Elephas maximus indicus: one gene and its partner. The protein of the gene in region 2 binds, or shares a complex with, the protein of the main gene of each other region. Links are inferred from orthologs where the notes say so. Each region holds a gene or a part of one and is shown on either strand. Other genes may lie near its edges. The genes, in order: KATNA1 and KATNB1.

The links.
Region 1: the proteins of KATNB1 (region 2) and KATNA1 are in contact, whole or in part, in a crystal structure (PDB 5OW5), measured with the Mus musculus proteins. The link is inferred for Elephas maximus indicus from reciprocal best matches to the Homo sapiens genes KATNB1 and KATNA1. Residues at the interface, in NP_083081.2 of Mus musculus: Leu485, Val486, Asp487, Glu488, Ala490, Met491, Gln493, Ile494, Arg495, Gly497, His498, Met501, Phe502, Val504, Leu505, Thr506, Arg508, His509, Leu512, Asp513, Val515, Arg516, Trp519, Thr521, Asp542, Leu543, Ile546, Gln549, Lys550, Leu553; in NP_035965.2 of Mus musculus: Leu5, Gln6, Ile8, Val9, Val12, Arg16, Ala19, Leu20, Leu21, Gly22, Tyr24, Tyr31, Tyr41, Leu50, Lys53, Trp54, Gln56, Val57, Glu60, Ile61, Val63, Glu64, Gln67, Val68, Asp70, Ile71, Thr74, Leu75, Ser77, Phe78.

What each region holds. Positions count from the first base shown.
Region 1 is NC_064819.1:220,917,220-220,932,663, reverse strand, and holds the start of KATNA1 (katanin p60 ATPase-containing subunit A1), read left to right. Parts: upstream 1-8,005; 5' UTR 8,006-8,108; intron 8,109-15,444. UniProt on the Homo sapiens protein: Catalytic subunit of a complex which severs microtubules in an ATP-dependent manner. Microtubule severing may promote rapid reorganization of cellular microtubule arrays and the release of microtubules from the centrosome following nucleation.
Region 2 is NC_064839.1:24,624,008-24,639,013, reverse strand, and holds the start of KATNB1 (katanin p80 WD40 repeat-containing subunit B1), read right to left. Parts: upstream 6,876-15,006; 5' UTR 6,781-6,875; intron 5,686-6,780; 5' UTR 5,425-5,685; coding exon 5,385-5,424; intron 1,394-5,384; coding exon 1,263-1,393; intron 1-1,262.

The DNA of each region.
Region 1 (15,444 bases), on a different chromosome or scaffold from region 2:
CTTCCCTGTCTTTATTGACCTTCTTTCTGGATGTGCTGTCCTTCACCAAACATGGTGTGTTGAAGTCTCCTACTATTATTGTGGATCTGTCTATCTTACTTTTCAATGCTGATAAAGTTTGTTTTATGTATCTTACAGCCCTGTCATTGGGTGCATAAATATTTAATATGGCTATATCGTCTTGGTGTATTGTCCCTTTAATCATTATATAGTGTCCTTCCTTATCCTTTATGATAGATTTAACTTTAAAGTCTGTTTTGTCAGAAATTAATATTGCCACTCCTCCTTTTTTTCTGCTCTTTTTTGATCGTTGTTTGCTTGATATATTTTGTTTTTCCATCCTTTTGGTTTGTGTCTCTAAGTCTAAGTTGTGTCTCTTGTAGGCAGTATATAGACGGATCGTGTTTTTTAATCTATTCTGCCACTTTCTGTATCTTTATGGGTGCATTTAGTCCATTTATATTCAGCATAAGTACGGATAGATATGAATTTAGTGCTATCATTTTGATACCTTTTTTTTGTATCATGTTGACAGTTTTTTTTTCCCCACTTAATTTTATGTGCTGAGTAGATTATATATTGTTCTTTTCTCATATTTGTTTTTGTTGATTCTGTTTCTGCTGAGTCTCTATTTTTTTCTTGTATTTTATTTTGATGAGTAGGATAGTTTGTCTCCTTTGTGGTTACCTTACTATTTACCCCTATTTTTCTAAATTTAAACCTAATTTTTATTTCTTTGTATGGCCGTATCTTCCTCTCCATATGGAAGGTCTATGATTACATTTCTTAGTCCTTCTTTATGGTTTTAATGTTGTCTTCTTTTGTATAATAACATCGTTGTTACCCTGTTTGAGCTTTTTTTTTTTTAAATCTTGCTTTGTTTTTTTTTTTTATTTCCCTGTCTGGGTTGACTTCTGACTGCTCTGCCCATTGTTGTAGTCTTGGGTTGATACCTGGTATTATGAATTTTCTAAGCAAAGAACTCCCTTTAGTATTTCTTGTAATTCTGTTTTGGTTTTTACGAATTCCCTAAACTTCTATTTATCTGGAAATGTTAATTTCACCTTCATATTAAAGAGACAGTTTTGCTGGATATATGATTTCTGGCAGGCAATTTTTTTCCTTCAATTTTTTAAATAAGCCATCCCATTGCCTTCTTGCCTGCATGGTTTCTGCCAAGTAGTCCAAGCTTATTCTTATTGACTCTCCTTTTTAGGTGACTTTTTGTTTATCCCTAGCTGCTCTTAAAATTTTTTATCTTTGGTTTTGGCAAGTTTGATTACAATATGTGTTGGTGACTTTCTTTTAACTTCTACCTTATGTGGAGTTCGACGAGCATCTTGGATAGATACCTTCTCATCTTTCATGATATCAGGGAAGCTTTCTGCCAAGAGATCTTCAACAATTCTGTGTTTTCTGTTATCCCTCCGTGTTCTGGTACTCCAATCACTTGTAGGTTATTTCTCTTGATAGAGTCCCACATGATTCTTAAGGTTTCTTCATTTTTTTTAATTCTTTTATATGATTTTTCTTCAAATATATTAGTGCCAAGTGATTTATCTTCAAGTTCAGAAATTCTGGTTTCTACTTGCTCAATTCTCCTCTGACTTTCTATTGAGTTGTCTACTTCTGTAATTTTATTGTTCAGCTTCTGAATTTCTGATTGCTGTCTATGGATTTTTCCAGTTTATTAAAATTTTTTATTATGTTCCTGAATAATCTTTCTAATTTCTTCAGTTGCTTTATCTGTGTGTTCCTTGGCTTGTTCTGTGTATCACCTCATTTCCTTCCTGATGTCTTGAAGGGTTCTGTATATTAAACTTTTGTATTCTGGCTCTGGTAATTCAGGAATGCACTTTCATCTAGAAGATCCCTGGATTCTTTGTTTTGAGAGCTTGTTGAGGTGATCATGGTCTGTTTCTTTATGTGACTTGATATTGACTGTTGTCTCCAAGCCATCTATAAGTTATTGTATTAGTTTATGTTTGCTTACTGTGTCGTAGCTTCTTGCTTTGTTTTGTTTTAATATGCCCAAATGGGTTGCTTGAGTGAGCTAGCTTGATTATTTTTGCCTTTGGAGCTCTGACATACTCTCCCCAGATGGCTAGAGCTATCATCAGGTATATCAGTCTAGGAGTCCATTCAGTTTTCTTGTATGAATTCAGCTCATGTGTCCAGGTAGCTGATCAAGTATGTGGTACAGGCTCTGTCCTACAGTCTTAGAGGGGTAGGGGTGATTGGTGTAGGTACCAGTATCTGGCTGGAGCAGGGGGTCATGCTTTGAACAAGGCAGGGGGTTGAGAACCACCCCCCAAGTGTCTCTGAGGAAAGCGTGTCCCTGTTCCCTAGAGCGTGCAGGTGGGTGGGTTCCGCAGACGGACCATGGGTACCTAATGTTTTTGGTTGTAAGGACTGGGAGGTACCAGTTATCCTTGGACCCCTGTTGTAGGTGGCTGGGTGACCTGAGTGGAGCTACCAGTCCTTAGGCCCCTGATGTGGGTAGGTGAGGACCCTGTTTAATAGGCAAAGCAATGTCAAACATCAAACACCCACCTCTCTGCCACATAGCTGAAAAGGGTTGGAGTCTGCCAACAAGGGACTATTCTGCTGAAATAGGCCCACACAGGTCCATGCAGAGGGGAAAGGTACTTAAAGTCCACAGACCTTTTATGCCTGAACAGGAGCCGCTTCTGTCCTGAGCTCCCCTGGTTAGTGTAGGTGGCAAATTATCTTTTCCCCCAAATGCAAATTTTTTCCTTCTCCAAGGCTGGGAGGATGGCTCTGGGCACGTAACAGTGCCTATCTGAGGCCCAGGGAATTCAGCAGCTGAAGCTGGCTTGGGGGTTGGGTGGGCGCGGTAAAATATTCGCATGTACTTAGCCTCTTCTCTGGTTCTGGAGGTGTGAGTAGGCTGTGTGGCTGGCTGCTTCTCCCTGTAGAAGCTGCGGCTGAATGCTAGTATCAGCCTGCCACACCCGCTCAGGTCCGGTAACTCCTCTCTGCTTCTGAACGGTCTCTTCCTTCGGCTGCTCCTCAGTTTGTTTTCTAAGGTTGCCGTTGATGCTCAGGGCTCGTAGCTTGTCATAAATATACTCGTTTCACTTGTTTTTTTTTTTTTGGTCTTTGTTGTAAAGAGGGCTCGCTGGAAGCATCTGTCTATTCTGGAATCTTGGCTCCGCCCTCTGTTTAACTTTTGAAGGAACCACAAAAACGTTTAACACAGTAGCTGCAGTATTTTACATTTTCACCAGCAATGGATCAGGGTTTCTAATTTATCCACATTCTTACCAATGTTTGTTATTTTCTGGTTTTTGGATAATAGCCTTACTAGTGGGTATGAAGTGGTATCTCATTGTGGTTTTGATTTACATTTCCCTAAGGAGCCCTGGTGGGGTAGTGGTTAAGAGCTTGGCTGCTAACCAAAAGGTCGGCAGTTTGAATCCACCAGCCACTCCCTGGAAACCCTATGGGGCAGATCTACTGTGTCCTGTAGGGTTGCTATGAGTTGGAATCAACTTGATGGCAGTGGGTTTTAATGACTAATGATGTGCATCTTCTCATGTGCTTATTTACCATCTGTATATCTTCTTTGGAGAAATATCTATTCAAGTCTTTTGCCCATTATTTAATTGCATTAGTTGTTTTGTTGTTGAATTGTAGGAGCTCTTTATATATTGTGTACATTAAATGCTTATCAAATACATGTTTACTGCCTTAGTTATTTAGTGCTGCCATAACAGAAATCCCTATAATTAGAACAGCAATTATTTTCTCACAGTTCTGGAGGCTAAAAGTCCAAATTAGGGTCTCAGCCATGTTGATTCCCTCCTTGTCAGTAGCCAAGGGTGTTCCTTGGCATTCCTTGGCTTGTAGACAGTCCTCATATGAAATCTGTCTTCCCCCTGTGCGTGTGTCTCTGTGCCTATTCTGGTCTTTTTATAACTCAGAAGTGATTAGGTTTGAGATCCACCCTATACTGGCACAACCTCCTTAACGTAACAAAAGAAAAACCTCTATTTCCAAACACATTACAGGTACAAGGGTCAGGATTTCAACACTGTTTTGGGGGAGGAGACAATTTATAACATTACACCCTTCTTCTGGGGATAAATGTCAGAAGGACAAAGTCACAGGTTACTTTCTTGATTTGGTCTCATTAACGTACCAGAGAAATCCTATTCCTAAATGGGGTTATATTCACAGGTATAAACCCGTTGCCATTAAGTCGATTCCAACTCATAGCGACCCCGTAGGACAGAGTAGAACTGCCCCATAGAGTTTCCAAGGAATGCCTGGTGGATTCGAACTGTGGACCCCTTGGTTAACAGCCATATAGCTCTTAACCACTGCGCCACCACGGTTTCCTCCACAGGTGTAGGGATTAGGATTTTAACACATTTTTTTGGAGGGGGGACACAATTCAACCCTTTAGCCTCCTAAAATTCATATCCTTCCCATATGAAAAAAGACGTTCACCCTGTCAGATCATCCCCTAAATTCTTAACCCATTAAGCATCCTTGTCTTGTTTCTGATCTTAGCGGGGAAAGCTTTTAGACTTTCACCATTCAGTATGATGTTCACTGTGGGTTTTTCATAAATGCCCTTTATCATGTTGATGAATTTCCTGCCTGAAGTTTTTTCTTTTGAATCATGATAAAGGTGTTAGGTTTTGTCAAATGCCTTTTCTGCATCAACTGAGATGATCATGTGTCCTTTTTTTTCACTAGTGTAGTGTTAGAGTTGATTTTCTTAAGTTAAATGTTGTTTTTGAAATACATTTTCATTTACTTTAGTAATAAAGGTTTTCTCTTTCAGGATTTTAAAGATGTTGCTGCACTATCATCTGTGTAGCATCATTTCCAATGAAGTCTACTGTCGCTCTTTTCTTTGTTCTTATGTATTCTTCCCCCCTACCCCCCTGGTTGCATTTAAGGTTTTTCTATCACTGGTACCAAGCAAGTTAATTATGATGTGTTTTGATGTAGTTTTCTTGATGATTCTTGTGTTTGTGATTTATTGAGCTTCTAGGATCTGTGGGGTTATGTTTTTCATTCTGTTGAGTCATGCTTGGCCATATTACTTGCTTTGGCCATTGAAATAAGAGCAGAAGTAGCATTATCATATTCAGGCAGAATCTCTGCAGTTTGTCTCATTTTGTTTTTTCCACTGCCAGGGGTTCCATTTCCTGCATCCACTCTGCTGGCAACATGTAGAGTGAATACAGAATTCAGTAGTGTCCCCCAACACTTCATGTCCACCCAGAACCTTGGAATGTGACCTTATTTGGAAATAAGGTCTTTGTAGATATAATCAGTTAAGACGAGGTCATATTGGATTAGAGGGGGCCCTAAATCCAATATGACTGGTGTCTTTATAAGAAGAAATGAGACAGAGACATGTACAGATAGAATGCCAGCCATGTAAATATGGAGGTTGAAATTGGAGTGATGGAACTACAAGCCAAGTGTTATGGATTGAATTGTGTCCCTCAAAAATGTGTGTTAACTTGGTTAGGCCATGATTCCCAGTATCCTGTGAAAGTCCACCATTTTGTCATCTGATGTGATTTTCCTATGTGTTGTAAATCCTACCACTATGATGTTAATGAGGCAGTTATGTTAATGAGGCGGACTCTGTATACAAGATTAGGTTTTATCTTGAGTCAGTCTCTTTTGAGCTATAAAAGAGAGAAGCAAGCAGAGAGAGGGGGAACTCCTACCAACAAAAAAGCAGAGCTGGGAACGGAGTGCATCCTTTGGTCTCAGAGTCCCTGCACTGAGATGCTCCTAGACCAGGGGAAGATTGACAACAAGGACCTTCCCCCAGAACTGATAGAGAGAGAATGCTTTCTCCTGGAGTTGGTACACTGAATTCAGACTTCTAGCCTCCCGTAAGAGAATAAATTTCTTTGTTAAAGCCATCCACTTGTGGTATTTCTGTTATAGCAGTACTAGATAATTAAGACACCAAAGAATGCCAAAGATTACCGGCAAACACCAGAAGCCAGGAAAGGGCAAGGAACAATCCTCCCCTAGAGACTTGAGAGCATGGCCCTGCTGACAACTTGTTTTCAAACTTTTAGCCTGCAGAGCTGTGAGAAAATGAATTTCTGTTGTTTTAAGCTACCAAGTTTGTGGTACTTGTTAGGGCAGCCTTAGCAAACTAATGCAGTGAAAAAAAAATCCTGCTATTTAAACCTTCTGTGACTTAGGAATTATACACCATAGCTTAGTCTTCTCTGACTAATACAGCTAGTGAAGAATTGGAAGTAGTGAATGTAAACCATTCTCTCAAGACTTTTTTTACTTTAAAAAATGTTACTGAGGTATAATTTATGAACAATAAAATGCATGTATTTTATTTGTACTCTAATGAGTTTTAATAAATGGATACACCTATGAAGCCACTACCCCAGTCAAGGTATAGAACATTTCCTTCACCTCAGAAAACTTCCTCATACTTCTTTGCAGTTAACAGCCCCTTCCCAAGTCATCAATCCAACCTGAGGCTGTTAATATAGATCAGTTTTGCCTGTTGTAGCACATAAAGGGGATCATGTAATATGTAGTCATTTTGAGAAAAATTTATTAATTGGCTTAATAAGTTAGCATATCTTGGCATTCATATAAAAGGTGAAGGCTGAATTCAGCCTAATTAGGGTGGGTAACTATTTCTTCAATTGGTTTTGTGATCTCTATAGTTTCTTGTGCTCCATTATAATAGAGTTCATATCATAGCAAAACTATTTTCTACTTTACTGATAATCTTGAGACTTTAAGCTCCATAAAACATTCTTTTTTAAAAAATTATGGTAAGTATGTATATATAGATATATATAAACATTTGCATTTGAATATTTTTACAAGTACAATTCAGTGACAGTAAAACCTACGAAAGCCAGAACCTGTGTAAGGTGGAAACCTGTCAGAGAAGGAAAACACATATTCCACTCCAACAAGTGATAGAAAAGTAGTAAGATTACACCCTCTCAAAGGTGGAAAACTTGGGAGACCTAGAAAAACAAGGCAGTCCCGTTGAATTCCGGCTTTCACAGGTTTCACTGCATGTTCACCGTGTGCATTTTGTCCCCCACTGAATACTCAGTGCCTAACACAGTGCCCTGGCAAATAGTTGCTCAATAATTATTTGTGGAAGGAAGATTTTTTTTTCCTGAATTGCTTTTATATAAATATTAAATTACTGGGATGATTTAATGCTAGGAATTTAATTCCTAACATTAGTAATTCCTAAGTCACAAAAGTTTCAAGTGTCATAAGTGCCCCTATTCGGGTTTAGGTCGGGGTGGGGGATGGAGGCTAAGACTGGAGGCAGCAAAGCCAACAGCATTGTCCAGTAGGATATCTGTAAATCATGAAACAGTTTTGTTGTCTCATACTGAAACAGTGACACACACACACACACCCAAAATCCACCATTAGAGAATCTAAATATTTTTGTTTGCCCCCTCCCTACCTATTTTAGTCACATTACGTCGTGACAAGGCCCTCTGCCGAAGAATTCTGAGAACTGGGTTCTAAAATTTGTCATAATCGAATTGTTTAATACTGCAACACTTACCTGTAAAAGAGACACTCTGACTTCCTAACTTTAGAGGAATGCGGTGAAAATCAAATGGGAGACAATGTGAGCTAGCACTTCGGCAAAGGTACTGAGGTAAGCCAGGTAGTACAGGTCACGACCACTCCCACCTAGCTCCCTCAGCCGAGAGGAGGTGACGCGGGCGCGCAGGCGCGCCCCCGCGGCCTGGCTCCGCCCAGCGCGTGCCCGGGCGCCGGCGCGCGCACGCCGCCCGGCGTCCTCGCTCCCGGGCGTCGGCCCGCGTGCGCTGGGGTCGCTGCGGCCGCTCCCGGCACCGGAAGTGACGATGTGTGTTTGCCTTCAAATCCTTGGCTAGCACAAGAAGCGCCCGGGGGCGGTGACGGTTGGCCTGGGCTGTCCGGGTTCTGTGAGCGCAGAGTGGGGGTGGGGGTGGGGGTGGGGGGAGGTTTGGGGCTGAGTCTGACTTTCTGGCTGCCGGGAGCCGCTCTCGGCCCTTTCCCCTCCGCCTGGCTGTGGGCGGCTTCCCCAGGAGCCTCGGCCGCCACAGGTGAGTGTTCGCTCCCCGGTGCCGTGGGGACCCAGGTGCCCGGGCCGCCGAGGGCTTCAGGGGGCCTCCGGTGAGAGCCTGCCCATGCATGCGTCGGTGTCTCGGGTCCTAGCTCTTGTCGCCGACACCTGTGGCTCAGGTGACTGTTCTCCTCCTTCCTGAGGAATCCTGTCCAGCCAGGCACTCTTCGGGGGCTCTGCAGATCCCACCCCCTGGCCCGTGTCTTGAGGGAAGTGTCCGGCCGAGAGAACCGGTTTTTAATTCTGTGCAGTTCTGGCTGGTGCTCTCCGGAACCCGTGCGCGCCCCAGGCCCGGAAACCCTTCCTCCTGAAAAACCACGACATAGGGATGTAGCTTCCTTTCTTGTATTTTTTTAGTTGGTGTGTTATCGTTGAGGGTGTTAATTTCTTATTTAGATTATTCTAGAGCTGGTCGTCCTCTGGGAGGTTTATGGAGTTGGTACCTTTTAGAAAACGTATCCCTCGAAACATTTGTTTCATACCGTATATGGTGACGGAGATAGAGGTAAGCATGGACCCTCAAGTGCCTTACCGTGGATAATCTCCGGCCTTAACTGCGAATTGTTACTTTTATATCAGTTACCAGCTTTTAGCAGCACAGTGGTGCGCCCTTTTCTCTTGAAAGCACTAATTTATGTCTTTCTTCTTGAAACCAGACCTTTAGTTACTTTTGAAAGCATTCCGAATGTTTTAGAATGTGTGCGATGGATCTTTGCCACGGCCGCAAGGACAGAACATAAGGTGTCAAGAATGGTTTGCGTAATATTTATAAGGGCCAAAATGTCTCAACATGAAGTCCTGTTTTCTTTTCCAAAGGAGATGGTTTTGTAATCAGTGAGTTCTTACACAAAGAAATAGCATCTGAACTCTTTGTCTTATATTAATAACTTGTGGCATATATCATGCCTTAAAAAAAAAAGGAGGCAGTGCTGATCAACTTTCCAACATTCCTAGACTGTGAAAAGCAATATAAAGCTCTTTTATGGCTTTGGTTATTCAAGAAGCTTTTACATGTTATGGATTTAGTACTTGGAATTACTACGTAGCATACAAGGAAGGCTGCAACTTACTTTCAAACTGGCGTCTCGATTTGAAAATTTGTAGTCTTAGGGCATCATGTAGAATTTACTGTATTAACATCGTTGAAATGCTGTTTACAACAACGCCTTTTTTTTTTTTTTAGCGACTTGACTGTTTAAAAAAGATAGCATATCAAATCAATATGGTCAAAGTTGATAACATGCTAAATAGATTTCGCTTGTGTTTATTGAGATGGCTTGAAATGGCGTTTAGTTTGTGTTTTAATTGCTATACTCACTGATTTATTTTTGTTTAGAGTAAACTGAAAATTATCCAGTTATCCTTCTTTTGAGGGAAAGTTTACCAAATACATATAATGTAGACTTTTATATGTATATATTTTCTGAGCAGGGTTACTTTTGGTGTTGTTTTTTACGGTGGTAGCTTTCCTGTGCTTGAGTATTTATCATGTGATGATTATAAAGGTAAGGAAAACGTATGCCATGTTATAATTAGTCATGGGTCCCTCATTTATTCTGCTTTTTCATAATCATCAGTGACACTTTAAATTAGCATCATGATTGCATTCATATCCCAGAGATGACCATTCCGAAAATTGCTTAACCAGCAATCATGTTCTGTTTTTATTTTAGGAAATAAGTTTTGCAGATGAATTTTTGAAAAACATTAGCAGGCTTCCAGCATCGTTATTGACTCTTTATCCTGTGTTTAATATCCTATGCTTGTTTGCTCTTACTTAGCAAAGAAAAAAAAACACCTAAAGAGATAACCTTTCTACTACACTTCAAAGATTTTGAGGGCTAATTCCGTCTTACTTATTTTTGTCTTCAGTGCACTTCCTTTCAGCTCAGTAAGTGCTTCGTAAATATTTCTTGAACGAATGCTCAGTAGGTGATCCTTAAATATTTCTTGAATGAATGACCTATGGGTAGGACGTTAAAAACTACAGTATAGGTAGAACCTAGCCTAAAAAAAAAGAAATTTTTTTTTTTTTTTTTTAGTAAGAGGGGCAGGGGCTGCATTTGTTGTTTTTGTAGAGAATAGGAATCTTAGAACTCAAGTATTTTGATCTTCTGGTAGAGGTGCCACATTGCATCAGACGTGAAATTTCCTAGGAATCTTAATGGAAAATTGAGTTTTTAGTATTAGTTTTAAAAAACATGGGCTCTGTTATTGATTTACAGTAGTATTAATTTTGAAAAATGGGCTCTGTTACTTGATTTACAATTTCACTTGCATGTTAAAAAAACCACCCACTGCCCTCGTTACTCAGTTTAAATAGATGAATTTAGTCATTAACCAACTCACGCCTTCAAACCATATAAGCAAAAGGGTGATTCTGATAGGTTAACCCAAAGGAAAAGCTGACAGCGAAGTAAATGAGGCATAGCCGGAGCTTATTTCTCTCTCTAACGATATGTCTAACCAAGAGTCTGAATTTTTGGACAGTCTCATTTTTTATGGGTAGCGTTTACCACTTTTGTTGATTAAAACTCGGTCTGTCAACCTTTCTGGAAATACGTTTATTTCGTCAAATATTGCCAGGTATTGTGCAAGGTAGACCCCTTTTCTGTCTTTCTACAGTATGATTTTAGCAGTGATAAAGACATATTCTTGATAATTGGAGAATCATAAGTTTACAGTGTTTTCATTCATTTGAAAAGGATATTTTAGGCTTAGAGACTATGAAAGGATTAGGAAAAATTATTTTTGTCTAATATTTGGTTACCTAATGCTTGCTTTGTGACTGTTTTCAGTAAATACGTTATTCCTTTGATAACCAAGAATTTTTCAGGTCCTTTGTTAATATGGCCTTGGATTGACTTTACATTTCTTTTTGTTAGAAAATGACAATTCATTGTCTGCTAACAAATTTTATCTCACTAGAAAGAGAACTTCGTAACACAGAACCTTTAAACAAAGCCTGGAGTGACTTCTGAGTTTGGGACCGTTGAACAATGGCCCTCAAAAAGAAAAGTAAACAAAAGATCACCTATATATATAAATAGCACCTTAATTCAGATTTTTTTTTTTCTTCTAATGCGAATGGGAAGAAAGATATGGAAGGAGTCTTAAGCAAGGAGGGAGAGGGGAAAAGACATGAGAGGCCCGACATCCAAACTCATTCACATCAACTGTATACGTCCAGCAGTTGGGCCTGTTTATACTGTTCTAACACTGTTGCTCAGACTAGATGTCACTATAGGGCACGTGTGGCTTCAAGGCAGCAGTGATTATGCAGGTGTTAAGCAATAACCCTAGCTCTGGTGGTGATGAGTTGAGGATCAAAGAATGTGAGAGTGCAGAGGGGTGGGAACTGGACAAAAGTAAGAAATCTTAGTTAAGACAAAAACCTGGAAGTATTTTCGTTCAAAGATTACTGACTATCTGCTGTGTGCCAAACATGGTTCTTAGTACTGGGGATATAGCAGTGAATAACAGAGAGACATGATCCTTGACTATGGAGCTTTTATTTGGATAGAATATTGTCAGTGGTTATGACTTCAGGGAGTAACTATTTAGGTCACAGGATTTCCTTCGTTTCCTGTTGGACCTCAGCTGTTCAGTCTCAGTCTTGAGTTACTCATAGACCTCAGTTTATAACTGTATTGCTACATAACAAATTACCCCAAAACATAGTGCCTTAAAACAAACATTTATTATCTCACAGTTTCTGTGGATCAGGAATCTGGGAAGGGCTTAGCTGAGTGCCCTGACCCAGGGTCTTTCACAAGGCTGTAATCAAGGTATCAGCCCTCAGTGTAGTCATCTCAGTGCTTAACTTGGAGAAGATCTGCTCCCAAGGTCACTCACATGGTTGTTGGCAGAATTCAGTTCCTTGTGGCCATTCAGCTACGGCTTCAGCTCCTCACTGGTTGTTGGCCTGGAGTCTCCCTCAGTTCTTTGCTGTGTGAGCCTGTCACAAGGCAGCTCACAACATGGTAGCTGGTTTTCCTTAGAGTGCACCAGCAAGAGAGAGAGAGGGCAAGCAAGATGAAAGTCACAGTCTGATGTTGGAAATGACATTTCATTATTTTTGCATATTCTGTTTGTTAGAAGTCCACATTGAGTGGGGAAGTAATTACCCAACGGTATGAATACCAGGAGGCAGGGATCATCGAGAGCCATCTTAGAGGTCAATATCATTATGTATATAAGGACTTTTTCTCTTATTGTGTTTTTTTGTCCTCCCTGCCCCAGTCCTTTCGCTACTCACATTTCCCTACCTCAGCCTCCATAGACACTCAGTATATGTTCTTAGATATGTATGTATCCTTTAAAAAGTTTTATATAATGTATGGCTTTTTCATTTATAAAATGATATTGGGACTTAAGTCTTGTTCTGTGTCTAAGATTTTTTTCACCCAACTCTGTATTTTGATGATCTATCCATGCTGCAATTTGTAAATTGTGTTCGTTGTTTCCGCTACATGGTCCTACATAACGTTCATTCACAGTTTTTTTTTTTCATTCACATATTTTCTTCTGCATTCTTTCAGCAGCGAATAAACAGACTGCCTCCAGCTCTGATTTCCCAGACGTTCTGTCATTAACGTGTGTACGTCCTTGTTGTTATTGGCTGTGGAGTAGACTCATGGGGACCCCATGTGTGCATAGAAGAACCCCTCTGTAGGGTTTTCAAGGCTGTGACCTTTCAAAAGCAGCTCACCAGGCCTGTCTTCCAAGGCACTTCTAAGTGAGTTCGAACCCCAGTGTTTTGGCTAGAACCTAGTCAGGTGCTTTACCTTCTGAGCCACCCAGGCACTCCTAAACATCTAATTCCAAGTCCCTTTATGGATCTTTGTGAGACTGACTCTGGAATATTTGCACAAGACTGGGATCGTTGGGTCAAAAAATACATATGCATACGTAATTTCCCTAAGTACTGCCAGATTGTTCTCCTAAACAGCTGTACAGTTTATGCCCATAAATTATATGTGAGGCTTTCTCCCCCTCCCCAAATCCTTGCCGATACTTAGTATTATTGGACTTAGTAATTTTTTTTAAACCTGGTAAATGTAAAAGGAACCTCTCATTGCTTTCATTTGCGTTCATTTGTTACTAGTGTCCTGTACATGTTAGCCATTGGGTTTTCTATTTCCATGAATTGCTCTTTATGCTCTGTAGTCATTTCCCTGTAAAGTCCTTTTGTCCATTAGTGTGATGAATTACAATGATGGATTTTCCGATCTTAAGTCACCCTTGGATTCCTGGGGTGAAAAAAGGTGAAACCTTACCTTTAAACCCTTCTTAATCATGATATGCGTATGTGTTTGTTTTAATTTTATTTAGTTTGTTGTTGATATTGAAAATATACACAGCAAAACAGTTTCTGAATGTATAATTCAATGACATTGATTCCATTTCTTTGAATTGTGCAACCATTCTTACATTCTTTTTCTGAGTTGTCCCCCCATTAACGTAAACTCACTGCCCCCTAAGGTTCCTGTCTAATCTTTTGAGTTGCTCTTGTCACTTTGATCCCATATCAAAGAGCATAATGCTCAAAGCAGGCAGTTTTTATTAGTTAAGCTGAACTGCAGTTTTAAGAAGACTTCAGGAGATACTTTTGGTTTCAGATTTAAAAATTATCTCAGGGCAGTACTTTGAGGGGTTCACCCAGCCCACATGGCTCCAGAAGGTCTGTTGTTCTTGTTAGGTGCTGTCGAGTCGGTTCCGACTCATAGCGACCCCATGCACAACAGAGCGAAACACTACCCGGTCCCACACCATCCTTACAATGGTTGCTATGCTTGAGCCCATCATTGCAGCCACTGTGCCAGTCTACCTTGTTAAGGGACTTCCTCTTTTCTGCTGACCCTATACTCTTCCAAGCATGATGTCCTTCTCCAGGGACTCATCCCTCCTGACAACATGTCCAAAGTATGTAAGATGCAGTTTCACCATCCTTGCCTCTAAGGAGCATTCTGGCCGCACTTCTTCCAAGGCAGATTTGTTCGTTCTTTTGGCAGTCCTTGGTATATTCAATATTCTTGGCCAACACCGCAAGTCAAAGGCGTCAACTCTTCTTCAGTCTTCTTTATTCACTGTCCAGCTTTCACATGTATATGATGTGATTGAAAATACCATGGCTTGGGTCAGGGTCACCTTAGTCTTCAGGGTGACATCTTTGCTCTTCAACACTTCGAAGAGGTCCTTTGCAGTAGATTTGCCCAGTGCAATGCGTCTTTTGATTTCTTGACTGCTGCTTCCATGGCTGTTGATTGTGGATCCAAGTAAAATGAAATCCTTGACAACTTCAATCTTTCCTCCGTTTATCATGATGTTGCTCATTGGTCCAGTTGTAAGGATTTTTGTTTTCTTTATGTTGAGGTGTAATCCATACTGAAGGCTGTGGTCTTTGATCTTCATTAGTAAGTGCTTCAAGTCCTCTTTACTTTCAGCAAGCAAGATTGTGTCATCTGTAGAATGCAGGTTGTTAATGAGTCTTCCTCCAATCCTGATGCCCCGTTCTTCTTCATGTAGTCCAGCTTCTCGGATTATTTGTTCAGCATACAGATGAAATAGGTATGGTGAAGGAATACAACCCTGACGCACACCTTTCCTGACTTTAAACCAATCAGTATCCCCTTGTTCTGTCCGAACAACTGCCTCTTGATCTACGTAAAGGTTCCTCCTAAGCACAATTCAGTGTTCTGGAATTCCGTTCTTCTCAGTATTATCCATAGTTTGTTATGATCCACACAGTCGAATGCCTTTGCATAGTCAATAAAACACAGGTAAACATCCTTCTGGTATTCTCTGCTTTCAGCCAGGATCCATCTGACATCAGCAATGATATCCCTGGTTCCATGTCCTCTTCTGAAACCGGCCTGAATTTCTGGCAGTTACCTGTTGATATACTGCTGCAGCCGTTTTTGAATGATCTTCAGCAAAATTTTGCTTGCGTGTGATATTAATGATATTGTTCTGTAATTTCCACATTCAGTTGGATCACCTTTTTTGGGAATAGGGATAAATGTGGACCTCTTCCAGTCAGTTGGCCAGGAAGCTCTCTTCCATATTTCTTGGCATAGATGAGTGAGCACTTCCAGCGTTGCATCTGTTTGTTGAAACATCTCAATAGGTATTCCATCAATTCCTGGAGCCTTGTTTCTCACCTGTGCCTTCAGAGCAGCTTGGACCTCTTCCTTCAGTACCATCGGTTCCTGATCATGTGCCACCTCTTGAAATGATTAAATATCCACTAATTCTTTTTAGTATAATGACTCTGTATTCCTTCCATCTTCTTTTGATGCTTCCTGCATCATTTA
Region 2 (15,006 bases):
CCATTTCCGCTGTGAGAATGTAAATTGATTTCTGGTGCACACCCTAGGATTTAATGCAGCGATCACAGATCTGCTCCAAGACAAGGTAGATGAGGACGTTCACCACCTGTGGTTTAGAAGAGCCAAAGCACTGGAAACCACCTTGATGCTGATAAATCGGGTGTGGCTAAAGTAATTATGGCTCGCTCCCTACAATGGAATACCATGAAGCCACTCAAAATCATGTTGAAAAAGATTTGTTGACACAGGAAAATGCTCACAACGATGTTATTTTTAAAACCCAGGCTATAAAAGAGTAAGTAAGATAAAAAATAAGCATTCTAGAAATACATTTTTATACATGTATGTGTACGTGTAAGGAGCCCTGGTGGCGCAGTGGTTAAGCACTTGGCTGCTAACCGAAAGGTTGGCGATCTGAACTCCCTAGATGCTCTGTAGAAGAAAGATGTGGTAGTTTGCTTCTGTGAAGACTACGGCTTTGGGAACCCTGTGAGGCAGTTCTACTCCACCCTATAGGGTCGCTATGAGTCAGGGCTGACTCGACGGCAACAGGTATGTGTACGTGTGTGTAGAGATACTCACCTGCGTGTACATGCACGTGCAGGCACGCAAATACACACACGCATGTGCAAGTGTGTATACTGATATCAGGATCTAGGATACACACCAAAATACCAACGGTAATGGTCTTTGGATAATGGAACTACATGTAGTTAATTTTTGTGGCTTTTCCTCCTTTATACTTTTCTGTTTCCCAAGTTTTGGCCATTGATTATGTCTTACTTGTGTAATTAGGGGTAAGATGCTATTAAAGAACCAGCTCTTGAACCAGCTCCAACCAGGTCTACTCAAATCCTTTTGTGGAATGAATTAATAAATAAACACCCACATGGAGCTGACAGGCAGGCAGATTGGTGGGGGTGGGGGGTGGGGTGGGGGGGGTAAGCCTCATGGCTCCACCACAGGTCTGTGGACTTATTTTAACTTTCTCATGCAGACTCCTGGTTTCTGTCCCACTGCCAGGTGACTCCCCTATTCCTGAGGGCTAGCCGCTATCTCAGCCATTCTGGCTTGTCCTAGGCCTTCCCAAGCACACAGCATGGGGGGCACTGGTGTGCTGTGTACCCCACCACGCCCTCTGGCTGGGCCCCCAGATGATATGATACCCTGAGCTCAACAGAACCTGCACAGTCCCCCTCCCAGACCCTTGCCCGTGACCCCTCCCACCCCCCTCCCCACCCCCCACCACTAGCAAGGCTCACCATGATACAGTTGGGCTTGTTGATGGACCACAGATTGACGCGGCAGTCATCCCCGCCTGTAGCCAGCAGCCGCCCAGAGCCTTTGCCCAGCACCAGTGAGGACACATTGCTGGCGTGGGCGACAATCTCCTCTACACAGGAAAGAGGAGAGGGAAAGACAGTCAGGAGGCTTGGCGGGTCCTCACCCTGCTCGGCTATAAGCTCTAGAACCCGCAGGCTGGTGCGGGGCTCTGCCTCCTTCTTCCCTTGGGTTCCCTCAGGACCCCTTCTCAGGCGCTGCAGGACCCGCTGACAGTGCAGGGCTCGGGTGCCTGGGCCTGTCTCTCAACTTGAGTCATTTCTGTCCCTTAAGCCTCACAATTTTTTTTTTTTCCTTTTTCTGCACCTCGGCTGGTAATATTGACTTACTGATTTTTTATATGGATTTGCTGTTTTTATTTAGCTTCATCTTAATAATATTGCTGACATTACACGTTTGATGTGTTCAGTATACTTTTTCTACTGTAGAAAAAGAACACAATAAAAAAAAATTAAAATATATATACCCATGTACCACCTAAGCCCCTTGCAGATGCCGTCTGAGGGGCACGCAAACCCCCCTTTGGGAAAGGCACTGTGAGAATCATTCATGTCAGCTCTAGACAAGCTGTCACCAGGTGAGACTGCACAGGGCTTCAGCCCACAGACACAGAGGCCAGATCTGGGTTCTAGGCTCTGCTGCTGCTGGCTGTGCGACCTTAGGCAAGTCACTCACCCTCTTTGAGTGCCAGGTTCCTCGTCTGTTAAATGGGGATGATGACAGCGCTACCTCCTGGGTTGCTAAGGATTCACCGAGAACATACGCAGGCTGCCGAGTCAGGAGACAGTGCTCCATGGTTGTTCAGCAGGCTAAGGAATAGTCACTGAGGGCACCACTGGGCACTGGGGCCCCAGGCGGGGTTTGAGGAGGAGGGGAAGGTGGTAGGCGACTGAGGGGTCTGAGGTAAGAGGGCAGGAGGTGAGCACTGACAGACGAGAGGAAGCTGGGGTCCTTGCATGCAGCCATCAGGGCCCCTGGCCTGGACTAGTGGGATGCCGTGGGGACAGCAGACATAAGCCTCAGAGGGGCATCATCACTGCTCCAAAGGGAACAAATATAGGCAAGGAACCAAGAGGTGGGCCCAGGCCTCTGTGCCAGTCCCTGAGAGGGTTGCTCCTGAGAACAAGGAAGGGAAAGATAAATCTCCTCACATGGACAGAGGGAAAACCCCAACGTACCAGTGCCTTGGGGCAACTGGGAGGCTGGCTGGGGTGACACGAGGAAAAGGGTGTTGCAGGTACTCCTGCACCCCAGTTCCGGGCCCCACCCTGCATAGGTGACTCCATGGCGCAGGCATCAGACCACAGGAGGTGGGGAAACTGGGTGCAGCCTGGCTCAGAGGGGCCCTCACAAATGCCCAGAGACCAGGCTCAGGCTTGTTCTCCCACCTCAGGGCAGCACCTAGCCGCAACCCCAGCAAGGCTGAGAGGTCTCAACAGGCCCGAGCACCAGCTGGGGTCTCAGGAACCCTGCCATGTCGGTCCAAGGGAGCTGGGCCCTCTCTAGACCTCATCTCACCCATGGAGCCTTCTGTCATCTAGACACTGCAGGGACAGACACCTGGGGTGCTCCAGCCACAGACATTGGACTGTTCCAGAGCTTCTGCTGGAAAAACATGGCCGCCCAGGCCAGGGAGGGTAGGCCACCTTCTCCCTGAGCACCCTGCCCCCAAGCCACGAGCTAATCTCCTTCTTCAAGACATCCCTGCATGCACTGCCCTCCGTCCATGACTCTCACTGAGGCCGCAGTTGTCTGCATTGCTCTCATCTGTCCTGGAAATCCCACAAGGTTCCACCTCACTGGGCCTCTGTGGGTGCATGCTGCCCTCTAGGCTCAGGACTACTGCCCCAGCGACTGCTGTTCATTTAGGACATAAATATTTCCTGGGGAGCTGGCACTGGGGCAGCAGTGGGGAATGAGAGCAAGAAGGTTTCTGCCTTCCTGCGACAGTGACCGGATGTTCCCGGGACAGGGCATCCAGCGTGCAGAACCACAGATGCTAGGTTGAGGGGCTTTGGAGGCTGACTCCTTCTGGAAGGGCCCAGGCCACTCTCCTTTAAGCAGCCTGAGCGGCGACTGATCTGATGCTCACGGAGGCACCTGGGAACACAGGGCACTGGCCTGACAGCTTCCCCTCTGGCCTGGCCCGAAGGACAACAACCATGGGTGGCCCTGGCTTTGGTGCCAATTTTAATACAAATAATTCTCACAGTATCTACTACCAAGCCATGTTGCCAGCCGCAGCTCCACCTAGGGGCACAGCCCACACCAGTTTTCCAAGCCCAGGTGGCACAAAGCTGGGCCTCACATCTCTGCCAGAGTTGGGGAACACTGGGCTTTCTGGCCAGAGACACTGGGGACCTGCAACCCAAACCAAAGGTACAAATTACTGGGCTTCAATGACCCCATGCTGGCCAAGCACCCTCTGATCCTCACCAGACCCCAGCAAGGTGTCAGAGGTCATTTGGTCCTGGGCTCTTCAGACAGCTTATACCCATGAAAACTGCTACGCAAATGAAATCACTGGCAGATGCCCAATATGCCTGGTATGTTGCCTCCCACTTAAACATTTCAGTGGTTTGGCCTTGGGCTGGGGTTCACAGACATGGGCCCCTGCAAGCCTTACCAGCTTCATGTGGCACAACACTCCCCACGCTGCTATCCTGCAGCCCACTGGCCTCCTTCCAGTGCACTGTGCTTCCTGCCTTGGGGCCTTCCACATGCTGTGCATGAAGCCTACTGCACTCTCCCACCCCTTACTGCCTTGTTAACTGACTCAAAACACATGTCCCAGCTTCAAATTAGAGCAGGAGAGATGGATGGGTGTGGGTGTGGTTATCTAATTCCTGCCTGTCACTCTCTCCAGGCTCTGAGCTCCAGCGCACAAGGACCTTGTCTGTTTTGCCCCCCAAAGGCTCCCCTGTGCCTGGCTCTGTGCTCAGGAAAGACCCAATGATGAAGGCATGGATACATAATCCCAACAAACACAAAGATACTCCATCCAAAGTGTACCCTCCTGGGGGCCCATGACAAGGTTCTCCCAGGACCCAGGTCTTTGGGAACAATTTGAAAACGGCCCAAACTTCTCATTTTACAGATGAGGAAACTCAAGCCACCAAAGGGCTTTGTCCAGGGTCTCATGGTTACAAAGTGATGGAGCCCTTCCCCATATCCTGCTCTCCCTTCTTCCAAGCTCTTTGTGGGGGCGGTGGGGGGGTGGGGATCCTCAATAGTTTTTAAGAGTATAAAAGGGTCTTAAGACTAGAAAGTTTGAGAGCTGCTAGTACAGAGGAAAAGACCCTTGGTGGTTCAACAATTAAGAACTCAGCAGCTAACTAAAAGGCTGGTGGTTTGAATCTACCCAGCAGTTCCAAGGGAGAAAGACCTGGCGATCTGCTCCCATAAAGATTACAGCTTAGAAAACCCTATGGGGGAGTTCTGCTCTGTCACATCAGGTCGCTATGAGTAGAAAATCAACTCAACAGCACCTAACAACAGTACAGAGGACCAGTGGGTGGGTGGTGCTTGGGCTGGGTTACATTCCAGGGCCCATCAGCATCCATTTCCCCACCCCTCACTGTCTCCTGCTCGGCTAACCACCCCAAGACGCCTCTATCTGATGGGGAAAATTTGATTTGTGATGTGTCTGAAAATGCCCAAGAACCTCTGTCAGGATTTCTCACCCCATCCTTCCCGCCAGTCTAACTGGAAATCTTTCAGCCCCTGGAAAAACAATTACACTAATGAAGGACCTTAGAAGCGTGAGCCCCTGTGGTAAGTGTCTATGTTCGTTATCTCATCTGGCCCTCACGGCAACTCTGGAAAGTCAATGAGACTATCCTATTTCACAGATGAGGAAACTGAGCATCAGAGAGGTTAAGTCACTTGCCCAATGTTGCCCAGCTAAGAAAGTGCCACGATCATGATTTATCTTACACATCTTCACCTGTCTCACTCCGAGGCAGTGCAGTGGGTTCAGGTGACCCAGCAACAAATGGATCAAAGGATAAATGGGGTGAAAAAGAAAAAAGGAAACCACTCACGCAGCTTCCAGGCTGTCTTGGTGACCACAGGGGTGGCCATTCTTCAGCTGGCTAGTACCTGGAGCTCTGCCCACCAAGTAGACACGCTTTCCTCTCGGGGTGGGGGTGGATCCCCCCCAGATCCACCAGTCAAGTTGGCACGGAGTTCCCACACATCCAGGCAGAGGGAATGCCTTGTGTCCTGGCCCCCCACTCCTTTGTGGTTTTAAATCATCAACAGGAGCTACAGCAGCCTGTGCATGCCCGTCGGGATCTGGGATCATGGAATATCAGGGTTGAGCCATCACCGCTCAACACTGGGCTGGAACACAAACAAAGGTGATGGCTGGTTAGAAAACAAGAGGTGGGAGCTCAGGAGAACCCTGGGGTTATAGACCTGCAGCTGCCTGATCACCAAGGCCACTTGAAAAAGATAAGACACCCACCAAAGCCACCAGAGCCAGGAGCTGTGCTACAAATTGGGTTTGAGAATCTGCAGAGATTCAAGCAAGGGGACTTGGAACAATGGGAAACAGAGGTCCTCCCAGAGGCCAGGATGATGGGACGAGGTTCTGCCCCTGGATGCTGGCTGCCTAAGTGCAGCCGCAACAGTGCAGACCACATGTCTGCAGTTCAGATGGATTTCTAGGAGTCGCTGTTCTGTCTGACATACGGCAAGGCGGGGAGAAGTCAGAGGATAAGCTTTGCAGGGGCTGTGAGAGGTACCCCATAGACAGGCACTGAGGTCCTCCTCTCTGGGAAGGACCTCAAGGAGACCCCTAAGGGTTCAAGCTTCCTGTTTGTGGCATGAGAATTCACTCCTGCCCCCTGCGATTCTCAAGGGCAGTGCTGGGGACTAGGCCTCCAGACACCAGCACGACTCCACCTCGTGGGGCCACCCAACATCCACCTCACTTCTTTCCCACGAACCCTCTCCCACTCCATCCCTCTTCTTCTGAGAATCCCCTCTCCCAGTTCTGCCCCCTTAGTCCTCCGTTCACTGCCCCTTCCTCCTGCCACCTATGTGTCTAATTCATGCACGTCCCGTCTCCTGAGCCCCCTAACTTGGGCCCTGCCCCACCAGGTCCCGTTAACTCTCCTTCCCCTTCTGCTACCAGTATCCCCCATTCATTTACTCTCCTGCCTCTAGTATTCATTACCCATGCTCCTGCAGACCCCCAGACCTGCTTCCAGCCTCCCTAGTTACCCCTTCCAGCCCCGACAACGTTCCTGCTCCTCTAGAGGCTGGGACTGGCCCCCGGGCCGCGCCTGATCCTCCCATCCCTCTCAGCTTTCGGGGCCGGCTCCTGCCTCCCCGGACCAGGAGCCCTCTCCGCCGCAGCCCCGCCCAGTCCGGCCCTGCCTAGCTTGCCCTAGCCTGGGACCCATCATGCCCTCGCCCCCTCGCCCACTTCACCTGCAGCTGTGGCTCCGGAGGCCGAGGCTCCGCTCCCGGCGAGACCCCCACTAGCCTCCATCCCCTGCCCTGATTGGCCGCTGCTTGACAACCGACCCTCACAACAAAACCTCAGGCCCCAGATCCCCGCCCACCTCATCCTCTGCACCAATCAGCCGCCGAGGACGCACCGCCTCCAGCCAGGTTTGACCAATCGAGGCAGGCGCTTCTGCCGCTTTTCCCAAGTACCCGCCCTCTATTCCTGAATCGGACTAATCACGAGGAAGAAGCCTCCAAGATACGCCCCTCGTACTCTAATGAACCAATGCGAGCTCCCATTTCCTTGGTCCCGCCTCCGCCTCAACCTTTCCCTTCCCTTCCCCTTTCCTTTTCGTACTCAAACTTAGTTTGCGTTTGAAACCTCTGCGCGACGCCCTCCAAGGGCAGCTGCGCCAATCGCTTTAGTAATCTTCCTGAATAGACCAATCAGCGTCCGCATTATTGGAAAACCAATTTGAAGAAAGCCAATGGGAAGGTGACTTCGGGAGCAGCGAGAAGCTGCGGACCTTCCATCTTGAAGTGGGGCGAAGCGAGGCGGAGTCTTGAGTCAGCATCTTGGTTCAGTTCCTGCTTCTTCCCTCTGCCCTCCGGCAATACTGCTGTAGTCTGAGGACTTCTGCCCCCGTTCTTTGACCCGGACCCCGCCTTGAATCTCCCACAGGAGGCCTGGCGGGGGACAGAATCTGATTCCGGGTCCGAGTCAGGCATAGAGCCCAGGAGTGCTGCCCACAGCCGCGGCCTCTGCGAATGAATGCGTGGGCAAGTAGCTTCTCCCTCAAGATGATCACAAACTAGGAATCCGAGAAAAGCCGACCCTACTGTGACTCATTAGGTGGGGTGGGATTCGGGAATGAGTTGGGACCTCGCGTGGTCCAGCTGGCCAGGGGGATGCTTGGGAGCGACTCGGCCCGACAGACGCCTCTTCTCGCCTAACCCCGGGTCATGCCCCATCGGGCGGAGAGAGTGGCCCAGCTTTCTCAGCGTCCAGCGCCTAAAGACCCTCCAACCTGTCCGTTTATCCTCAGGTCAGAGTGGAATCATACAATATGTTTTTTTTTGTTTTGTCAGTGAAGGCTGACAATAGCCCAAAGGGATAGAAATTGTTCCCATTTACGGATGGGGAAACTGAACCAAAAAAAAAAAAAAAAAAAACCCGTTATCGTCCAGTCCATTCCGATTCGTAGTGACCCTACAGGACAGGGTAGAACTGTCCCATGGGATTTCCAAGGAGCGCCTGGTGGATTCAAATGACCGACCTTTTGGTTAGCAGCCGTTGCTCTTAACCATTAAGCTACCAGGGTTTCCAAAGAACTTGTGTTGTTTCCGCCCGGGAAAGAACGGGACATTTCGCATGTGAGGTGAACATGATAACTGCTACAATAAGGAAATGGTGGGGAAACTGACGCCTAGGTTAAAGTTCTTGTAACAGGCCACACAGTCAAAAAGTAACTGTTCTTAAGGCCAAAGCCTAGGGGCTTCCCCATTACTGTTCCCTCTGCCAGAGACAACTGGGTCCAGCCCTTATGTACTTTTGGGAAGCATACCCTGAGAGGGGAATGGGCATTATTAAAAAGAGGACTAGATTAGCAGAGTGACATCTGATCAAAACTCTTTTAACGTTGAGAAACTTAATAGAGAAAACTTGAAAGAAGAATATGATGGCCCATATATACTTGTTCTCTGTATGTGTATTTTTCCTGAACCATTTGAAAGTTGTAGACATGATGCCACTTGCCACCTCCCACCCCCCACAAACTACTGAGTTTGCAGCTCATAAAACTAATGCCCTTATATAACCGTTATCGCCATACTAAAAAAAAATACTAAGAGAACTAGTAATTCTCTCGCATCCACTCCATATTCAAATTTCCCCAATCCTCCCGAAAACGTGTTTGATAACTTTTTTTCCTAACCAGGAACCAATTAAGATTCAGCACACTTGGCTCTTTTAAACTCATTCTAGTTCAGTCCCCCAACCTGTTTTAAAAGACCCCAGGCCATTTACCCTGTAAATTGTGCTTCATTGTAGATTTGTCTGATTCCTCCTCCTGTCATTTATCTTGTTCCTCTTCTCTTGAATTTCCCATAAACTGGAAGTTAGGTCTGGAGGCTTGATTAGATTCGTGACCAGCATTTTAGAACACTTTTTACTGAAGTACAATATACATACCCCAAAGGGCACATATTATACGTGTTCAAGGCTGATGAGTTTTCACAAACAGAAAATACACAGGTCAAGAAGCAGAATATTACCAGCACCCCAGAAGCCCCACTGGCTCCCCCTTCCATTCACTAACCCTTACACCCCTAAAATGACCACTGTCCTGACTTCTGATACCATTGACTAATTTTGCCTGTTTTTGTTCTTTATATAAGTGGAAATATATACGTATATATGTATACACACACATACACACATATTTTCGGTATCTGGCTTTGTTTGACAATATATTTTTTTAATATAATTTTTATCGTGCTTTACGTGAAAGTTTACAAGTCAGTCTCTCACACAAAAACCCATATACACCTTGCTACACACTCCCAATTACTCTCCCCCTAATGAGACAGCCCGTTCTCCCTCCACTCTCTCTTTTCGTGTCCATTTTGCCAGCTTCTAACCCCCTCTGCCCTCTCATCTCCCCTCCAGGCAGGAGATGCCAACATAGTCTCAAGTGTCCACCTGATCCAAGAAGCTCATTCCTGACCAGCATCCCTCTTCGACCCATTGTCCAGTCCAATCCATGTCTGAAGAGTTGGCTTCAGCAATGGTTCCTGTCCTGGGCCAACAGAAGGTCTGGGAGCCATGACCACTGGGGTCCTTCTAGTCTCAGTCAGACCATTAAGTCTGGTCCTTTTATGAGAATTTGGGATCTGCATCCCACTGCTCTCCTGTTCCCTCAGGGGTTCTCTGTTGTGTTCCCTGTCAAGGCAGTCATCGGTTGTAGCCGGGCACCATCTAGTTCTTCTGGTCTCAGGATGATGTAGTCTCTGGTTCGTGTGGCCCTTTCTGTCTCTTGGGCTCGTAATTGCTTTGTGTCCTTAGTGTTCTTCATTCTCCTTTGATCCAGGTGGGTTGAGACCAACTGATGCATCTTAGATGGCTGCTTGCTAGCATTTAAGACTCCAGATGCCACTCTTCAAAGTGGGATACAGAATGTTTTCTTAATAGATTTTATTATGCCAATTGACATAGATGTCCCCTGAAACCATGGTCTCCAGACCCCTGCCCCTGCTACGCTGGCCTTCGAAGTATTCAGTTTATTCAGGAAACTTCTTTGCTTTTGGTTTAGTCCAGTTGTGCTGACCTCCCCTGTATTGTGTGCTGTCTTTCCCTTCACCTAAAGTAGTTCTTATCTACTATGTAATTAGTGAATGCCCCTCTCCCACCCTCCCTCCCTCCCTCCCTCCCCCTTCTCGTAACCACAAAAGAATGTTTTCTTCTCAGTTTAAACTATTTCTCAAGTTCTTATAATAGTGGTCTTATACAATATTTGTCCTTTTGCAACTGACTAATTTCACTGAACGTGTCTGTCAGTTTGTCGTACTGTGGGGGCTTGTGTGTTGCTGTGATGCTGGGAGCTACGCTGCCGGTATTCAGATACCAGCAGGGTCACCCATGGAGGACAGGTTTCACCTGAGCTTCCAGACTAAGACAGACTAGGAAGAAGGACCTGGCAGTCTACTTCTGAAAAGTATTAGCCAGTGAAAACCTTATGAATAGCAGCGGAACATTGTCTGATATAGTGCTGGAAGATGAGCCCCCCAGGTTGGAAGGCACTCAAAAGATGACTGGGGAAGAGCTGCCTCCTCAAAGTAAAGTCGACCTTAATAACGTGGTTGGAGTACAGCTTTTGGGACCTTCATTTGCTGATGTGCAACGACTCAAAATGAGAAGAAACAGCTGCAAAAATCCATTAATAATCGGAACCTGGAATGTATGAAGTATGAATCTAGGAAAATTGGAAATCATCAAAAATGAAATGGAACGCATAAACATCGATATCCTAGGCATTAGTGAGCTGAAATGGACTGGTATTGGCCATTTTGAATTGGACAATCATACAGTCTACTATGCTGGGAATGACAACTGGAAGAGGAATGGTGTTGCATTCATCGTCAAAAAGAACGTTTCAAGATCTATCCAGAAGTACAACGCTGTCAGTAATAGGATAATATCCATACGCCTACAAGGAAGACCAGTTAATACGACTATTATTCAAATTTATGCACCAACCACCAGGGCCAAAGATGAAGAAATAGAAGCTTTTTATCAGCTGCTGCAGTCTGAAGTTCATCGAACATGCAATCAAGATGCATTGATAATTACTGGCGATTGGAATGCGAAAGTTGGAAACGAAGAAGGATCAGTAGTTGGAAGATATGGCCTTGGGGACAGAAACAATGCCGGAGATCAAATGATAGAATTTTGCAAGACCAACGACTTCTTCATTGCAACTATCCTTTTTCAGCAACATGAATGGCAACTATACACATGGACCTCGCCAGATGGAACACACAGAAATCAAATCGACTACATTTGTGGAAAGAGACGATGGAAAAGCTCAATATCATCAGTCAGAACAAGGCCAGGGGCCAACTGTGGAACACACCATCAATTGCTTATATGCAAGTTCTAGCTCAAACTGAAGAAAATCAGAGCAAGTCCATGAGAGCCAAAATATAACCTTGAGTATATTCCACCTGAATTTAGAGACCATCTGAAGAACAGATTTGATGCACTGAACACTAGTGACCGAAGACCAGACGAGTTGTGGAATGACATCAAGGACATCATCCATGAAGAGGAGCAAGAGGTCACTGAAAAGAGAGGAAAGAAAGAAAAGACCAAGATGGATGTCAGAGGAGACTCTGAAACTTGCTTTTGAGCGTCGAGCAGCTAAAGCAAAAGGAAGAATTGATGAAGTAAGAGAACTGAACAGAAGATTTCAAAGGGCCTCTTGAGAAGACAAGGTAAAGTATTATAATGACATGTGCAAAGAGCTGGAGGTGGAACACCAAAAGGGAAGAACACACTCGGTGTTTCTCAAGCTGAAAGAACTGAAGAAAAAATTCAAGCCTTGAGTTGCAGTAGTGACGGATTCCATGGGGAAAATATTAAACGATGCAGGAAGCATCAAAAGAAGATGGAAGGAATACACAGAGTCATTATACCAAAAAGAATTAGTCGATGTTCAACCATTTCAAGAGGTGGCATATCATCAGGAACCAATGGTACTGAAGGAAGAAGTCCAAGCTGCTCTGAAGGCATTGGTGAAAAACAAGGCTCCAGGAATTGATAGGATATCAATTGAGATGTTTCAACAAACAGATGCAGCCCTGGAGGTGCTCACTTGTCTATGCCAAGAAATATGGAAGACAGCTTCCTGGCCAACTGACTGGAAGAGATCCATATTTATTCCTATTCCCAAGAAAGGTGATCCAACTGAATGTGAAAATTATAGAACAATATGATTAGTATCACACGCAAGCAAAATTTTGCTGAAGATCATTCAAAAATGGCTGCAGCAGTGTATCGAAAGGGAACTGCCAGAAATTCAGGCCGGTTTCAGAAGAGGACGTGGAACCAGGGATATCATTGCTGATGTCAGATGGATCCTGGCTGAAAGCAGAGAATACCAGAAGGATGTTTACCTGTGTTTTATTGACTATACAAAGGCATTCGACTGTGTGGATCATAACAAACTATGGATAACACTGCGAAGAATGGGAATTCCAGAACACTTAATTGTGCTCGTGAGGAACCTTTCCATAGATCAAGAGGCAGTTGTTCGGACAGAACAAGGGGATACTGATTGGTTGAAAGTCAGGAACGGTGTGTGTCAGGGTTGTATTCTTTCACCATACCTATTTAATCTGTATGCTGAACAAATAACCTGAGAAGCTGGACTGTATGAAGAAGAACAGGGCATCAGGATTGGAGGAAGACTCATTAACAACCTGTGTTATGCAGATGACACAACCTTACTTGCTGAAAGTGAAAAGGACTTGAAGCACTTACTAATGAAGATCAAAGACCACAGCCTTCAGTATGGATTACACCTCAACATAAAGAAATCAAAAATCCTCACAACTGGACCAGTGAGCAACATCAGGATAAACAGAGAAAAGATTGAAGTTGTCAAGGATTTCATTTTACTTGGATCCACAATCAACAGCCATGGAAGCAGCAGTCAAGAAATCAAAAGACACATTGCATTGGGCAAATCTGCTGCAAAGGACCTCTTCAAAGTGTTGAAGAGCAAAGATGTCACCCTGAAGACTAAGGTGCGCCTGACCCAAGCCATCGTATTTTCAATCACATCATATGCATGTGAAAGCTGGACAATGAATAAGGAAGAGTGAAGAAGAGTTGACAGCTTTGAATTGTGGTGTTGGCAAAGAATATTGAATATACCACGGACTGCCAAAAGAACGAACAAATCTGTCTTGGAAGAAGTGCAGCCAGAATTCTCCTTAGAGGCAAGGATGCGGAAACTGCGACTTACATACTTTGGACATGTTGTCAGAAGGGATCAGTCCCTGGAGAGGGACATCATGCTTGGCAGAGTACAGGGTCAGCGAAAAGAGGAAGACCCTCAACGAGGTGGATTGACACAGTGGCTGCAACAATGAGCTCAAGCATAACAACGATTGTAAGGATGGCGCAGGACCGGGCAGTGTTTTGTTCTGTTGTGCATAGGGTCACTATGAGTCTGAACTGACTCGATGGCACCTAACAACAACAGCAACAATTTCACTCAGCATAATGCCTTCCAGGTTCCTCCATGTTATGAAATGTTTCACAGATTCCTCACTGTTCTTTATCGATGCGTAGTATTCCATTGTGTGAATATACCATAATTTATTTATCCATTCATCTGTTGATGGGCACCTTGGTTGCTTCCATGTTTTTGCTATTGTAAACAGTGCTGCAATAAACATGGGTGTGCATATATCTGTTCGTGTAAAGGCTGTTATTTCTGTAGGATATATTCCAAGGAGTGGGATTGCTGGATCCTATGGTAGTTCTATTTCTAGCTTTTTAAGGAAGCGCCAAATCGATTTCCAAAGTGGTTGTACCATTGGACATTCCCACCAGCGGTATATAAGTGTTCCAATCTCTCCACAGCCTCTCCAACATTTATTATTTTGTGTTTTTTGGATTAATGCCAGCCTTGTTGGAGTGAGATGAATTCTCATTGTAGTTTTGATCTGCATTTCTCTAATGGCTAATGATCCTGAACATTTCTTCAAGTATCTGTTAGCTACCTGAATGTCTTCTTTAGTGAAGTGTCTATTCATATCTTTTGCCCATTTTTTAATTGGGTTATTTGTCTTTTTGCAGTTGAGTTTTTGCAGTATCATGTAGATTTTAGAGATGAGGCGCTGATCAGAAATGTCATAGCTCAAAACTTTTTCCCAGTCTGTAGGTAGTCTTTTTACTCCTTTGGTGAAGTCTTTGGATGAGCATAGGTGTTTGATTTTTAGGAGCTCCCAGTTATCTAGTTTTTCTTCTGCATTCTTAATTATGTTTTGTATACTGTTTATGCCATGTATTAGGGCTCCTAACGTTGTCCCTATTTTTTCTTCCATGATCTTTATCGTTTTAGATTTTATATTTAGGTCTTTGATCCATTTTGAGTTAGTTTTTGTGCATGGAGTGAGGTATGGGTCTCGTTTCATTTTTTTGCAGATGGATATCCAGTTATGCCAGCACCATTTGTTAAAAAGGCTCTCTTTTCCCCCATTTAACTGTTTTGGGGCCTTTGCCAAATATCAGCTGCTCATATGTGGATGGATTTATGTCTGGATTCTCAATTCTGTTCCATTGGTCCATGTATCTGTTGTTGTACCAGTACCAGGCTGTTCTGACTACTGTGGCGGTGTAATAGGTTCTAAAATGAGGTAAAGTAAGGCCTCCCACTTTGTTCTTCTTTTTCAGTAATGCCTTCTTTATCCGGGGCCTCTTTCCCTTCCATATGAAATTGGTGATTTGTTTCGCCATCTCATTAAACAATGTCCTTAGGATTTGCATCGGAATTGCATTAAATGTATAGATCACTTTTGGTGGAATAGACATTTTTATAATGTTAAGTCTTCCTATCCACGAGCAAGGTATAGAAATGTACTATAGTTTTCTTTGTATAAGTCTTTTACATTTCTGGTAAGATTTATTCCTAAGTATTT